2 linked regions of the Oreochromis niloticus genome follow. The protein of the gene in region 2 interacts with the protein of the main gene of each other region in a biochemical or structural test. Links are inferred from orthologs where the notes say so. Each region holds a gene or a part of one and is shown on either strand. Other genes may lie near its edges.

The links. The genes of interacting proteins can lie anywhere in the genome.
Region 1: the proteins of hnf4a (region 2) and srebf2 form a complex in vitro, tested with the Homo sapiens proteins (2 studies listed by BioGRID and IntAct). The link is inferred for Oreochromis niloticus from reciprocal best matches to the Homo sapiens genes HNF4A and SREBF2.

The regions. Positions count from the first base shown.
Region 1 is NC_031969.2:10,062,892-10,070,696, reverse strand, and holds the start of srebf2 (sterol regulatory element-binding protein 2), read right to left. Parts: upstream 3,008-7,805; 5' UTR 2,744-3,007; coding exon 2,653-2,743; intron 1-2,652. Other genes in the region: uncharacterized protein LOC100696172, read right to left, coding at 5,376-6,812.
Region 2 is NC_031984.2:6,975,307-6,982,381, reverse strand, and holds the start of hnf4a (hepatocyte nuclear factor 4-alpha), read right to left. Parts: upstream 3,006-7,075; 5' UTR 2,880-3,005; coding exon 2,771-2,879; intron 1-2,770. Other genes in the region: peptidase inhibitor R3HDML, read right to left, coding at 5,532-5,655, 6,194-6,309. UniProt on the Homo sapiens protein: Transcriptional regulator which controls the expression of hepatic genes during the transition of endodermal cells to hepatic progenitor cells, facilitating the recruitment of RNA pol II to the promoters of target genes. Activates the transcription of CYP2C38.

The DNA.
Region 1 (7,805 bases), on a different chromosome or scaffold from region 2:
CCCTTAGCTCTCAGGGTCAGCGCAGCGTCAATAAGCTGAGCCTGTAACCTTGAACTTTATCTTAATGTGAGGCGGAGAAATCAGGCAATACAAAAGACACAAAGAACTTTTTGTCAAGTGTTAAATCACTAAGCGCACAACCCTTGGACACCACATATCAATACACCTAAGAAGCCCTGCAAGCCACATGTTAAAGTTAACTACAGTCACTACTTTGCAGCCTCAAAGTGAGTGAATTTTTCCTGCATTAATGAGTGATTTTTTTGGCATCAGGAAAATACAAGGCGACTGTGTAATACAGTACTATAAGACCCTTTATCAATCCCAGCGCAGTGAAACATGTTCTGCATCTTTTATGCCTGCAATAAAGTTACTGCTTCCTTTTTTGGTGATTTGACTTCTAGATAAGGTTCCTACATTTTTTTTAGCACAATATCGCTGCAGGACATTTTGTATTTCTACTTTAATGATGTAATGTTCGAAACAAACGCAACACAAAAAGCACTGGGGTACAAGAATAGATGCTTGAAGCTGCAAAGCGAAGAAGGAAAACTCACAAACTTTTTAAAACACCAAAAGGTTCTCAGATATGTTTGGAAAAGAAGCCAGCATCCTGTCAGCTTTGTCTTTGATCACTCGCTGCATTTCAGTGCAGCGTACAAAAACAATAAAAGGCGTTCGTTCTCATCAGTGTGCCGGGTTGCCAACTCCAGAGATGAATTGAAATCCAACAAGTCTTTAAAACAAACTCATCTGTGTTCAGATCTCATCTTGGATCATATATCATATCTGCATTTCTACTGCTGCAAAATCTCAAGCTGTAAAAAAAGAGATCAACAGTCCAACACTAGCAGCAGAGAGGTCAAGGCCAGTAATTCATGCACTCATAGCCATGACTGAAGTCTGCATGTGACCTGTGTTGACACAGAGGTAAAGAAACAGTGATGACCACTTTCAAAACCAATAAAAGGGAAACACTTTGAGGCTTGCTTTGAAAAGTGAGCCCAGAGGAGCGCAGGACGTGATTTCAAATAAGCCGCACCACAGGAACACTAAATGGGCTTCCTCTCAGGAGCGTTTCTACCAACCATCCAGTCGAATTTACACTTACAGTAGGGCACTCGCACACTTCAACACCTCGAGGGGAGGGGGTTACAGTGGCTGACAGAACAAAGCAACTCTGAGCCCCTGGAGCTTCAGACAGAGACTCCGAAACAAAGGGTAAATCCATTAAATGGGGGTACAGGGCGAGGGTGAGGGTGTAGTGGGGGACAATTTTGTGGGCTGCTGAGAGCAGAGAAAATAAGTTACATAAGCAGAGCAGCAGTTGTTAAGTGAATAATTGGAAAAGCAAGAATATTCGACATTAATACGGAGTCAAATGCACAAAAGAAAAGCTCGTGACTAATCTGAATTTGCAGCAGTTAAATGCTTTTCCTCATGGGAAACCTGCATTTTTCCCCCAAATAGCTGCAGGCAAAATGCACTGAGTGAAGCAAAAGTCAAGTTAGGATCAGTCAAACCTCAACAGTCATTTGACTTTCACACAATCTGCACATTCTTCTTTTGACACATTGATTAAGTGAGATTAAATAGCTGTGACATGGGCTGTTCACCACAGAGAATTAACACCAGATGCCACCGGCAGGTAGGTTTTCAAACCCATGCATAGTAATCTTTTTTTAATCAAAGTCTTTTTATTGAAAAAGGTTTTTGTACAATCACAAACAACAAATTAAACATACAAGCAGTAGAGCATACTGCTTTAAAAAAAACAAAACATAGTAATCTTTATTGGGCTTTGCATGATCTCAGAGCACTTTGGTTGGTTGTATGCTGATGACTAATTTAAACCTAACACAACCAATTCATCCCATACTGTGCGACACACACACACACACACACACACACACACACACACGTGTATCAATCCGGTCTGGTGGGTTAGCATTCAGTAAAATTCCACCCTAATAAAAATCTGGTGACTCTGCGTTGGCCAGCCTCACACCAAAAGCCCCCATCCTTTCACTGTGTGCCAAAGGGTGAAACATGTTTTGATAACAGGGAAGTTGGAACAAGGATGCTGTTTGTTCACAGGGTACAGGCCCACAGACTGCAAAACGCAATCTGTTTTATTTATTTATTTATTTATTTTTGACAGAGATGTTGTCCCACAGATGATGCTCAATTAGGTCTGCAGAAGCAAAAAGATGCTCAAGTAGGAGGAAAAGCTTCCTTCAAGAACAAGAAGAAGGTCAGAAAGTAACTGACACTTCTTATGGAGGAGTCAAGACAACAACAGTATCACTTCTTCATCTTTTAGTTTAGGTTAATTGTTTGTGTGATTGTTTTGTTTTTTTTTGTCTTTTTTTTGTGTGTGTGGGGGGGATTAGAGAAACAAACAGAAGAAAATACACAACGATAATGCCAAAATAACAGAGCATTCGAGGACTACTAAATATAAGTGCTCTCTTTTTTCCTGAGCGGTATCTTGAATACTTAAACATTGTCGCAAGAATTAAGAGCCAGAGCTGCTCATCTCCTTCCGCTCGGCAGGAAGAACAGCTGTCGGGCTAAACGGAAACAGGCCAACACTCGTGAAACACAGCTTACCCTTCCTAATTTTTTTTAAACAGTGACACGGTCACTCACCGTCAATGTCTCCCAAGGTGAATTCGTCCCCTAATTCCGCTAAAGTCGGGTCCATGTTCTCCATGGTGGAGATATACTCCCCGCTGTCCATCCTATCTGTCAGCAGCTCTCCTCTCCGGTTGTCACCGGAGGGACAAAACAAACAAGGTCCACGAGCTCCTCCGTGGGCGTTCGGCAACGCCTACCACACACCTAACTGACCGCGGAATATGTCCTTTCACCTGAACAACCCCAAAACAACACAGAAGCCCCAAGAGAGGAGCACTTCTACACCGATAAACTCATTGGCATCAATTTATGTTTGAGGCGACGCCATCTTGTTTCACGCTCATTACGTCATTCACAAACAGACTCCGTGGCCCATAGCGGGATCTGATTGGCTGAGACCTGTCCGTTCTTGTCATGAGACCAGTCATCATCGTCCAATGACAGGCCAGTATTCGCCGTGGTCTGATAGTACGTCAACCATCAGAAGCTTGGGTGTCATTTGAATAAACCGCTCCCCCTACCTTCATGAAAAGAACCCGACCTCGGTGGACAAATGCTGCTCCTTGGAAAAGATGACGGCGATAAACACACACAGTCATTCTGCAGTCATTCGCAAAAATACACGTTTTAACAGTTTCACTCGTTTCTTAAGCATGTTTTCCAGCGTACGGATTAATACTATCTTATTTATTGTTTACCTTTTAACCCATCAAAGATTACAAGTTGTGTTATAGACAAAAAAGGTTAATGGCATATACTCCAAGTTTTACTTTTTAAGCATAAAAATTGTATGATACTGTGTTAATAAAAATGAAAGAACTACAGTTGAGCTACCCATCTATAGTCACCTGCGACTTTATTAGGTAGGTAATCAATCACATTTAGAATAGAATAGAATAGAATGCCTTTATTGTCACTATACAGTTGTACAATGAGATACAGAGATCTACATTAGGCATGTGGATAAGGTCGACCTGCTGAAGTTCAAACTGAGCACCAGAAACATGGAGAAATATGGGAGTTTAAGTGGCTTTAAGGTTATTGGCATAAACTTGGTGGCAGATGGGCTGCGCTGTGTGTTTTAGCAACTGCTGATCTACAGGGATTTCCCACAGACAACCATCTCCAGAGAGAATTCTCTGAAAAACAGAAAAGTGAGCGGAAGTTCGGTGAGTAAAAATAACTTTTTCATGTCAGAGGTCAGAGGACAATGGCCAGAGTTCTTTAGAAAGGAAGGCAAAATAAGCCAAGGTATGCAGAACAGCATTGCTAAATATACGTTGAACCTTGAAGTAGATGGGCAGCAGAAGACCAGACTGGGTGCTCATCCTGTCAGCTGAAACTGTGGCAACACTTTACATGGGCTCACCCAAACTGCTCAACAGAAAACTTGAAAAATTTTATATAGTCTGACGGGTCTTTCTGCTGGCACGTTCAGATGGTATGGTTCAAATTTGGCGTGAACATGAAAAGTATGGATCTATCCTGCCCTGTATTATGTGGTGGTGGTTTAATGATATGGGGGGTATTTTCTTGGTTCACTTTGGTCCCCTTAGTACCAACTGACCATCACACCACAGCCTACCTGAGTATTGTTGCTGATCATGCCCATCCAGTTATAACTACAGTGTACCCATCTTCTGATGGTTGCTTCTCACAGGATAACATACCCATAAAGCTGACATCATCTCAAACTGGTTTCTTGAACATGAGTTCACTGTACTCAAATGGCCTCCACGGTCACAAGACGTCAGTCCAACAGAGCATCTTTGGGACGTTGTTGTTGAATCCATGCCAGGAAAAATTAAGTCAGCTCTGAAGGCAAAAGGGCTTCCAACCAGGTATTAGTGTACCTAACAAAGTCATCAAATCTATACATTTAAAATGGCACAGATCTTAATTCTAAGCATGATCATTGTTACTTAATGTGTTTCAGAATTCTTCAAATGGAGAACCATAGTTGATTATACTGCCATGTGTGGTGTTCAAAAAGATAACACCAATATAATTCCACAAGGAAAAAAGAAGCCAAAAACGTTAGTTCTTGCAACAATATTTGTATTTTCTTTATTTCACTGCAAAAACACATGAATGAACTGCTAACTCATTTGCAGCATATGTTTTACCTGTGTTAATACATAACTGTATAACTCTCCTGGTTTAATTATTACATGATGTTAAACAGTGCAATAAAACCAGCCAATCACTGCAAATCATTCAGGATGGAAACTTTTCAATACGTCATTAGTCCACTTTGTTCATATACATATTTGGCATGGCAAACACTTTTTTCTGTTTATTATACTCACTGTAAAAAAATTTTTTTTAAGTATGATGTGTGCTCAAGGACTAAGGTGTGTTTAAATACCAACCAGCACTGAAATGCATCACAACCTTCTAACATGTTTAAAAATAAGAAACAGCAGAATCAACACCCATCTAATATGCCTTTCAGTCATCCCACACAAGTGCAAATGTCATGGATTATTCAGCTTCGGCTTGAACCAACATTTAGATTGAGAGATTCTACCTTTTCCTCATAAAGTGGCTTCATATTAATACTGCATACAACTTTATTACACAGATGTTGTTGCTAGCAGTGCATCTTTGATCATTTACAACCATGTAAAAATATCCCTCACTGCAGTAAGTTACTGTGTTGTGTGGTGTTTATTGTGAAGGTGGAAAAATACATCTCTTACATCCTGGATTTGGACTCTACGCTCAGCCTGTATTTATTTGTTCCAGTAGATTTCATAAGACTTCTTCTCTGAGTAGGAAGCCTCCGTCGTTCCTGTGCCGCTTCTCACTTTTTCCTTCACCACCTTCACCACCAGACCACCAGCGAGGGCGATGCCGGCTGCAGCTTTGCCAATTTCGGCCACCGCGCTCAGGATGCGTGCTGTTGCCGACATGGTGCCCCACGGGTCTGATGCAACCCTGCTGGCTGCTGTTGCCACACTGGGTCCTGTTACCCCACATGCAGCACCAGCGGCCACTTCCTGAGCTAAGGCAGCAGCACACTGAGGAGTCCCAGCGGCTGCTGACGCTAAACTACCCTGAGCTACTCCTGCTGCTGCTGCAGTTTCAGCTCCACCGAGGGCAGCTGCTCCCTCCAGAGCTGCTCCTAAAGCAGCCCCACCTGCCATGGTGCATCCCACACCGGCCGCCACCCCGACTGCAGTGGCCCCTATGATGCTAACCTGGGTGAGGGCATCTAAAGCACCTTCTGCAGGACTGGAAGCCTCAGCGCTAGCAATGGCTCCCACAGAACTACCCAGAACTCCACCTGTTGCTGCGCCCAGAGCCACTGCAGTTTTCCCCGAGGCTGCCGCCACTATGGCGCCCACGGCATTCCCCACACCCGAGCCTCCCGCCACGGACATCCCAGCTAACTGAGCTGCAGCAAAACCAATCGAGTTCCCAGCAAGAGATGCCCCAGCTGCAGCTGCCAAAGGGGCAGCCGCTCCGAAAACTGCCCCAACTGCCATGCCAGTGGCTCCAGCAGCCACCAGGACCTTAACTCTCTCCAGCACCTTGGGAGAGAGCGCGGCTTCCCTCCTGAAACGAATCAGTGATGACCGGACAGATGGCCGCCGGCTGACAGCTCTGCCTTGGCCCCGATGTCGGCCTCTGATCTGGTCTCTCAGCAGGCTGAAGGGACTGCTTCTGCTCTCCTTTGCCCATTTCTCCACCCTTAGATCATCTTCACTTCCTCTTTCTACCCCTTTCCTCTGGAGCTCTTGTAATCCTCTCTCGCTGCTTCCTGCTATGTCAGACTCTAAATCACATTTTCTTCTTTTTGCAAGTTTAGCCTCCTCTTCAGTTCTGCAGTTACTTCCTTCTTGGTCTTCACCCTCTGCTTGCCCTCGCTCTCCCAACATCCTATCCTGCTCCTCCCGGATTGCAGCCTCTGCCTCTAAAAACATGGTGTTAGTATAAAACCCTCCGTTACTCTGCCTCACCATGCTGTCTACCTTCACCAAGAGCTCTTTAACTTGTGCTGTGTTACTGGGGTCTTTGTTGTTGAGAACATGGTACCTACCCCCACACTTGTCTATCAGAGCCCTCAGCCCAGGAGGTGCAGTCATTTTCAGATATTCTTCTATCACCATGCCCTCTAGGTCATCCCCCCCTGGTAAAAAGAACCACTGTATGGTGAAATACAGCATCCTCCCCCAAATATCTTGGCCAGCTCACAAACAGCCTGGTTCTCGTTGTCTGTGTATCGTCCTATTGGCACCACAAGGAGGAAAGCGTGGGGGCCAGGGGCAGAGAGAGAGACACATTTGGCAATCTCTGCGTGAATCTGCTCCACACTGAGGTGAGTGTCTCCAAAACCTGGCATGTCAACAACCATGATTCGCCTCACTCTCCTCTGTGGGACGGCCCGGCCATCTTCTTCAGCGAGCTCAGTGCTTCCCATCTCGCAAATCTGAGTGACAGAGCTGGCGCTGACCTGTGACAGGAACTGCCTGCGGCCCAGGATGGTGTTCCCAGATGCACTCTTGCCAGATCCGGTCTTTCCAATGAGGACCAGTCTGAGCTCTTCGCCCCACCTGGTCTCAGAGTCGACTCCTTCCTTCTCACACTCCATGTGTACTGGTTCCTTGTTCCCCTCCCTGTCTTCTAACAGAACATTAGGAGCAGAAAAAATTTGGCGTTAACGTTCAGACTACTTTATTTTTATTTTTTTTTAAATGTTCACTACAAATGTAATGGCCAGTGAAAAAGCAGACAGCAGCCAAGGCTTGTATTATCTCCACTTTGTGTCTTTGGGAAAGATAACAGCAATGTAATGAGCTTTGTAAAGTGAGAGCATCAGGAAGCTTCTTGCACATAAACAAAACATCAATAGGTTAGCTACAAGCAAGAGGGACGCGAAGCTAGCAACATCCACTAGGTGGTTAAATTAAGTGTCTAACTTTAACACCACCCAGTGACAACATACCCTGAAAGTAAACATCAAATGTCGAATGAAGAGCTCACGCTTTAATGTCGTTAATTATACTGCCTGCTAATAATTCGGCCTTAGCACGTTAACGGCTTTAGCTTAGCTTTCGTTAGCAAGTCGCTAACTTTTGACAGAAACATCAAAGTATGATCTTACCAGAGTCCAAATGATGAAACATTTCGCAGAGAGACTAAAAAGCCGTTTCTTCTCT
Region 2 (7,075 bases):
AATTTAAAAGTGACCAAAGTTCTAAAATCACAATCATACTTGCTTTTCTTTTTTTAAGTACCATACATACCATATGCACCATATGTATTGAATAGGGTTGTCAGAAAAGTTCAAATTCAGACATTCCCATTTCACATTCAGTTCCCATTTGCAACAGCACTGATACCAGCACTGCCGTCTTCACCTGCTCCAGATGACACACACCTTCACTAAGTACCCAGGTGCACAACCTTTCCCACCTTACTAGAAGCTGAACACATGAACAGTAGCACCACCAACTGGGTGAAGCATCTCAAAGACTGACACCTTGGTCTTTATTACGACTGTTGGGAGGTCAGTAAATCTCCTGTTTTAACAACATTTAAGTATTAAACAGTTATCTGAAGTGTTGACCTTGCCAGCGTCCACATTAACATGAGCCATTGAAGTATTAGCAGTTACCTGCAGGTAGCAACTAGTGGCTATAATAAAATGGTAATGTTAATGTGGTCTTGTCTGTCTGTAACATTAATAAACAGTATAAATTTAACAGGATAACACAGTTAACTGTAGTATTATGTTTCTTTAAGGTTATTAGTGGGCACGATGCAAAAAACAACATGAAAATCTGAATTTTCGGATTCTGAACTTGTCATGTAACACACACACACACCGAATGCACTGCATTGTTGAGGAAAATGTGAGGACAAAGAAGTTGATATTAAGCCACGATGAGCCGGTCCTGTTGTTTCTAAACCCGGAAAAGGAAGAAACAAAGATTCTAGGTTCATCAGAGTCTCAGGAAAAAGCGGCAGCAGGGAGAATTTCATACTTTGAACCAGGAGTTGAAGCTTTATCACAACTGCTTTCATACATATTTCAGGATGTCAGGGGGGCAGTTTGAGCTCTTGATGGCAGAGTTGGGACCACATCTGAGGAGGCGGATGAATCATTTCAGAAAGCTAAAGAAAAATAAATGCTGCAAATTCGTCCAGTGAAATTATGCAGTCAGTGTGAATTTGCACATTAAGAATGGGTGAATCCAAAAAATATTTTTAAAGCACAAAACATTCTCACGAATTTTTCCACATCTGGTGTGTAAAGCCTTCAGGGTGTCAGCGGACCTTCCATATTATGATCACGTAATGTGTCTTCAACTGTGCTCAAGATCAAGGTCAGATTTTACTGAAACAAGATTCATTTGTTGTGGACACGACTGTGAGCCTGCTTAACTTCTCAGTAGATTTAAATTCTCATGACTTTGTGCAATACAACCACTGACAACAAGCACAGCTTTCTTTCTGTGTGTCACGCATGACGATGACCTGTGACTGTAATTCTAACTGACAAAATAACACATCAAACAAAACTGTTTAACTGAACAAAGTCACGATGCTCATTGTTCTATACAGTTTCTCTTTATGCTGCATTTACTGTGTCATAATGTAATGAAATCATCTAGAGATTTATGCCGTAACAAAAAACCCTCACAAAACATGAATTAGAAATAAAATTAAATAAAAATATTTTCCTGTCAGCACCTAAAATAGGAGGCCTTAGCAGCCTGGAAATCTTATCCCTGTCGCTTCACTCTTAACTGAAATGGAAAGGTAAATGGAGCTGGATGTAAACCGGGCAATCCAGAGAAAATTTAGAGAAGCATGGGGTGTTCATTTGAGAGATTAGTGTTAGTATATTCCCAGTTAGCTAGCCCATAGGGGGTTTGCTTGCCAGCTACAAAGTCCTAGAAGCAAGTATGGCAGCGACAACCTTGAAATACTGCTGGACACATATTTGAGAAGTTATTTTCACTATCTGAACTGACTTTCACTTCACTGGTCACTGGGACTGAAATGTATGAAGATATCACCTCCCCCCTTTGTACAATTAACCTTTTCTGTGTAGCTGTTCCTTTAGCTGAAAAAATAGCCTACATATACCGAATTGGCATAGTGGCACGAGAAGAAATGGGGAGCAAGGAGGGAAGGAATAAATGAGCAAAGGCAGACTTGAAACAGTGGGCTGATATTTTCTTTTCTCATTTGGCCAGAGCTTTGTTTAAATGGATTTGCATCCCTGCTGTGATATGCAAATTATTTAATGAATGACCACAGAAGCAAAAACTAAACTCCCACCAACTGCTGCATCAGACAGCTGGTATGAGATGATGCCGAGTAAGGCCTCTCTTGAGATTGTTCAAAACAGTTATGACAAAGGGGCGGTTTGTGTGCCTGTAGCAGCGATGTGTCCTTCTCCTGTTTTGTGTTTGCACAGCATCTTATATTGTAGCCATAAAATAATGCAGAGGCTTATCACAGTGTCATAGTGAGGTTAAAATGTCAGTCTTTTTATGGATAGTGTAACTCTACAGAAAGAATGTTTTCAGAACTCCATAAAAAATATCCAGTCCATGAGCACAGCTTGTCAAACAGAGCAAGCTTAAATCATTTCAAATCAGCCTGTGAGCCCTGTCACACTCACTGTACTCTTACAGCTCTTACATCTCAATATCTCTGAACCATCATCTCCATCAGGCCCAGCTCCCATGGCCTTTTTTTAACGACCTCCATATCTCTGACACACCTCCTGGATTACAGCCGTGTGAAAAAGACAGACATGTATGGTGGTGATATTTCCACCCTGAATCCCTTGTGATCCAGCAGAGCTCTGGAGCCAAGCAGCTGCTACACAAAAACACTGAATAAGAAGCAAAAAGAAGCAAGCAGCTGCTACGCTTAGCCTCTTTTTAAACTAGTCGGCCACACGGATAAAAACAAAAGCGTGTACTCACCAAATGGAAGTTCCATACTTGAACTGACTTGTGAGTTTACATTGACCATGTCGTCCTCTCCTTCCTCCCAAGCATATGTTTTAAATCCACTATTTTCTCCCCTCACCATAAGGTGTAAAATGTGGATGTCTGGCGCAGGGTGCTGTAGTGCGAGAAGGGTGTTGTTGGTGCAAGGTAAGGCCGGTGTTGCTGCTGTTATCTTATTGATTTTCCTAATCTGGGCAAATGTGGGTGGGGAGGTTAAACAGTAACCAGGCTCGTATGGACACCAATCTATATAGCAGCTGTAACTATGGCAACATGATGATAGAAACTCAAATAGACATAAAGTTATTGTGCTCTTTTCCCTCTTTCTCATCACCTGACAGCCTTTTCTCCAGTCGAAGATGAAAATTGTGTAGGAATAAGAGTTTATGTAAAATAGAAAGAAAGAAAGAGGGTGGGGAGGGACATAAAAGACAGAGGAGTGGAGAATGTACTGAGGGTGGCAGCGAACATACTGTATGACGAGTGACATCATCAGTTTTGTTTTGACTAAGGAGAAAACATTACTGCTTAGCCGTTAGATATCTGGGGCCTGAACTCTCTGCGGATGCCAAAACATCCCCCTAATTTAAAATGTTGCCTCCCAGCAGAGATGGAAGCCCAGCTTCATTTCATTGGAGAATGAGTTTAAATCAAATATATCGTTTGATTTTTTTTCTTTGGCCTATAAGCTGTTGAGATGTCTACCTTCTTTGAATGTAATGAAGCTAGATGGCTCTTTGCCCTGTGCAGAAAAATACATTTGAATAACTCAGTTATGACACAGTTATTCTAAAACTACATTCACCAACCAAAAGGTGCTCAGCGTGATAAATGTGGCAATCAGAAGGTCAGTGTGTGGCTCCTTCACTCTACATTTGGGAAGTTCAACATTATTTTTCACCCGATGTTTAAAGGCAAAGAATATGTGTGTCTGTGTGAGGGGATTATAGTGTAAAAGTGTAAAATCACTTTTAATGGTTTGCAAGAGTTGAAAATCATAATACACCTATCAATTTACAATGTTTACATCCTGTTACAGTGTCACAAACCCTCCTCTGGCTTTCTTCTGCTAAGTGAGACGGTTGGCGTGTAAACATGGATGCCATCCCCTCACCGGAGCTGTAAAGTCTGGCAAGCCCACGCTTCAGTTGGTTGACAGGTATAGTTTGGTAGACAGAGAACAATTCCCAAATGAAATGGCTCACAAAATGTTATGTTTTCATCCTTGAGCTAACTGGGACACACACCAAACAATCTAGATGGATAAAAAGAGATAAAATCTGTACATTTGATTTGGAAATGAGCCGTCCTTTTTAGATAATTCTATATCCTGCTGGCACTTTTCAGCTGCATGCAAACAACCATTTTTGCTACCATAGGGAAATTTGTCATATTTTCTTTGGCCAGCTTCAAAAACATACATTAATACTTTCCATTTGCTTAGTTTAAGACTCTGGCTGAAGATTGCAAAATCCACTCTCTGACACCTCTAAAGCTCATTAACTAACACACTAATACTGCTTGTTAAGTTAAAATCGCCTAAAATGTAAAAAACAGTAAGTGTAACAGCATCTAAAGAAGAGCCAGATTAAATATAATGTGTTAATTTAATAGGCTTAGCTTTACTAGGAAAAGGATTTTGTTGTTGCTTTCTTCCGAGTTCAGTTTCTCTTGCTAATCGTCTGCAGGCACGAGGCGGTATGGATATTCTCATGAAAATTTCATCCAGCGAGGATAACAGTGTTTTCCAAACATCTGTTTGTATCAGTGGAAACTGATTGATTGAAATGCTGAAAACAGTGTATGCAATTACCTGTAAAAACCACACCTGCACAAAAATGTAGAGTAAGGAGAAACACCTTCCACAAAGAAAGAAAATTACACCCACTCTCCATTTCTGAATAGAGCTGCTAAATAAACAATCATTACAGTCAACAAAGTGCTGATCTCAGCTGCTCTTTATACTTGTTTGTGAGGGACTTTGTTTGCTTGGGAGAGACTGGTTTCTGTATCAAACGTTTTACGTTTGGGTGTGTGTGTGTGTGTGTGTGTGTGTGTGTGTGTGTGTGTGTGTGTGTGTGTGTGTGTCCACAAATCAGTTGAACTGGGAGGCACAGCTGATTCTCTCGTATTTTAGGCCATAAAAGCTGCATTAGGCTCGGGTTTATGACAGAGAAAGTCTCTGATGGGTAAATGGTGAGCTGTAATGAGGTGAAATGCAGGACAGAAAATTTCCTGCAGCTGCAGTGAATAAACACAAGTGGTGAACAGCGGATTACTTGTACTGAATATACAGCCTCATCAGTTATTTATAACTTAATTAACGTTCGGTCAGGCAAACGGGCAACCATAAATGCATTGTCATTTACTGTGGGAACGAGTTCACAGTTTAGAAAGACAATCAAAGATGTATATCAGGCCTAAAATGAGCAACTTGTAGCATAAAACTGCTTTTTTATTATTATTAAACGGGTTGTAACAGTGCAAAGCTCCTGAAAGTCAAAGGAAATAACAGTTTTAACATTATTTTGTAACTGGAATAGAAATTCAAGTGTTGCAGTAAATAAAGTATTTACAGTACAAATGGTAACAGTGGTAACTGGACACATGCGTCATTTATCCAGATTGTCTTGTTGTACAGCTTTTGTGAGTCATATCTGGAACTGTTGTGCATTTTTTTTTTTTCAGTTTAAAAATTAAAACACTGTGTTGTGTTAATAGCTTCTTTCTTGTGTTAAAGTCTCCTGGGTTTTTTGTTCAGTGTGCACTGGTTTCTCCAGCAGGAGCCTCCGTAGCTGGGTGGACAGACAGAACAAGGCCTTCCAGTCTTATACGGAGCTTCTCCCACCCAGTTTCCTCTGAAATACAAAGAAATATAATGCTAATTAAAAGGTGAGATTCTGAGTGTAATAGTTAAATGAGTATTTGCACCTGTGAGAGCAGGGTTTGAGTCTGTATTGGTTCGTTCTTTTTTACTTAGAACATGGACGAAAACAGCAACCGTCTATTTTCAGTTTTTGTTTTTTGTTTGTTTGTTTGTTTTTATTTTTGCCAACTTCATTAAGACATTTGTATATACAAGTAAAGCTCACTTTTTGTTCTTGAAATCTGCCTCCTGTGTCCTATTTGACCCCAGTTTGAACTAAAAACATTAAACTGATCCCATATGTGTAAAATAAAACAGATCATTTGGATTTAAAGCATTTTCAAGATCTAATAGTAGACTAAAACTGAAACTACAACCAACAATGATTAGTTTATTAGCATTTGCATAGAGGATGATGTTTTCTACTTTAAAAAATAAGCATCCTATGTGTCTCGGAGGAAGTCACGGTTTTGAGCTGCATCTTCAAACTTTTGGTGAAAAAGTGAACAAGCATATTTCCCAAACTTTACTTTATCAAGTAGTTGCAGACCAGCAGCGTTGCTTCCCTCCAGGTGCTGCCGAACACGTCCATGTTGGAGCACTTCCTGACAGCACATCCCACTCTGGTGGTGCTCGCCCACACCATCTGACACAAACCATAAACACGTTTTCTTTTGATATGCACGCAAGTGAAACCACACACATTTACAGAGGTTGAAGCTCATTTTGAAACACAGCTGTAGTCATAGATTGGTGTTTTCACCCACTGTAAAACTGCACCATGTTTAGTCCACATGACAATTTTAAAACCCGGGACGATTCATTGCTAATTTACAATAAGCACTAATAAACTTAAACTTACAAACATACTCTCGAAACGCTTAAACTCATAAAACTGTTAGGCTGCTTTACCCCCAGAAATATGCATTTTAACCCTCCAAAGCAAGAAAGTGGTGTTTAATAAAACAAAAGAGAAAGGGATCCGGCCTTTTCCAGAAAGAATAGACAATAAATAATTGATTATAATCTAAAGGATGAGTTTTTCAGTAACTGAAGCCACATTTTTTATGGAACACATACACTGATGGTGCTATATTCACTGTTTTAAATGTGCACGTACTTTACATGATGACATTATTATGATATACAACAGATCACAAGACATCTGATGGACGCACATTGATTCTGTGTAAAAACAACAACCCTAAACAAAGAATCCAGAGCATCAGCATCACAGAGTCAGACTGAGAATACATGAAGAGACAGAAAACACAGAAGAACTGTGAAAAGTGCCGAGAAAAAAACCACCAGATAAGTGCTTAGAAAAGCTGTGTGCTATTGTATCTATAGGTGAGCTGAAAAAATTCATGTTTTCACTGTTTTCTGCATTTTGAATGAATGAAATTGATAAA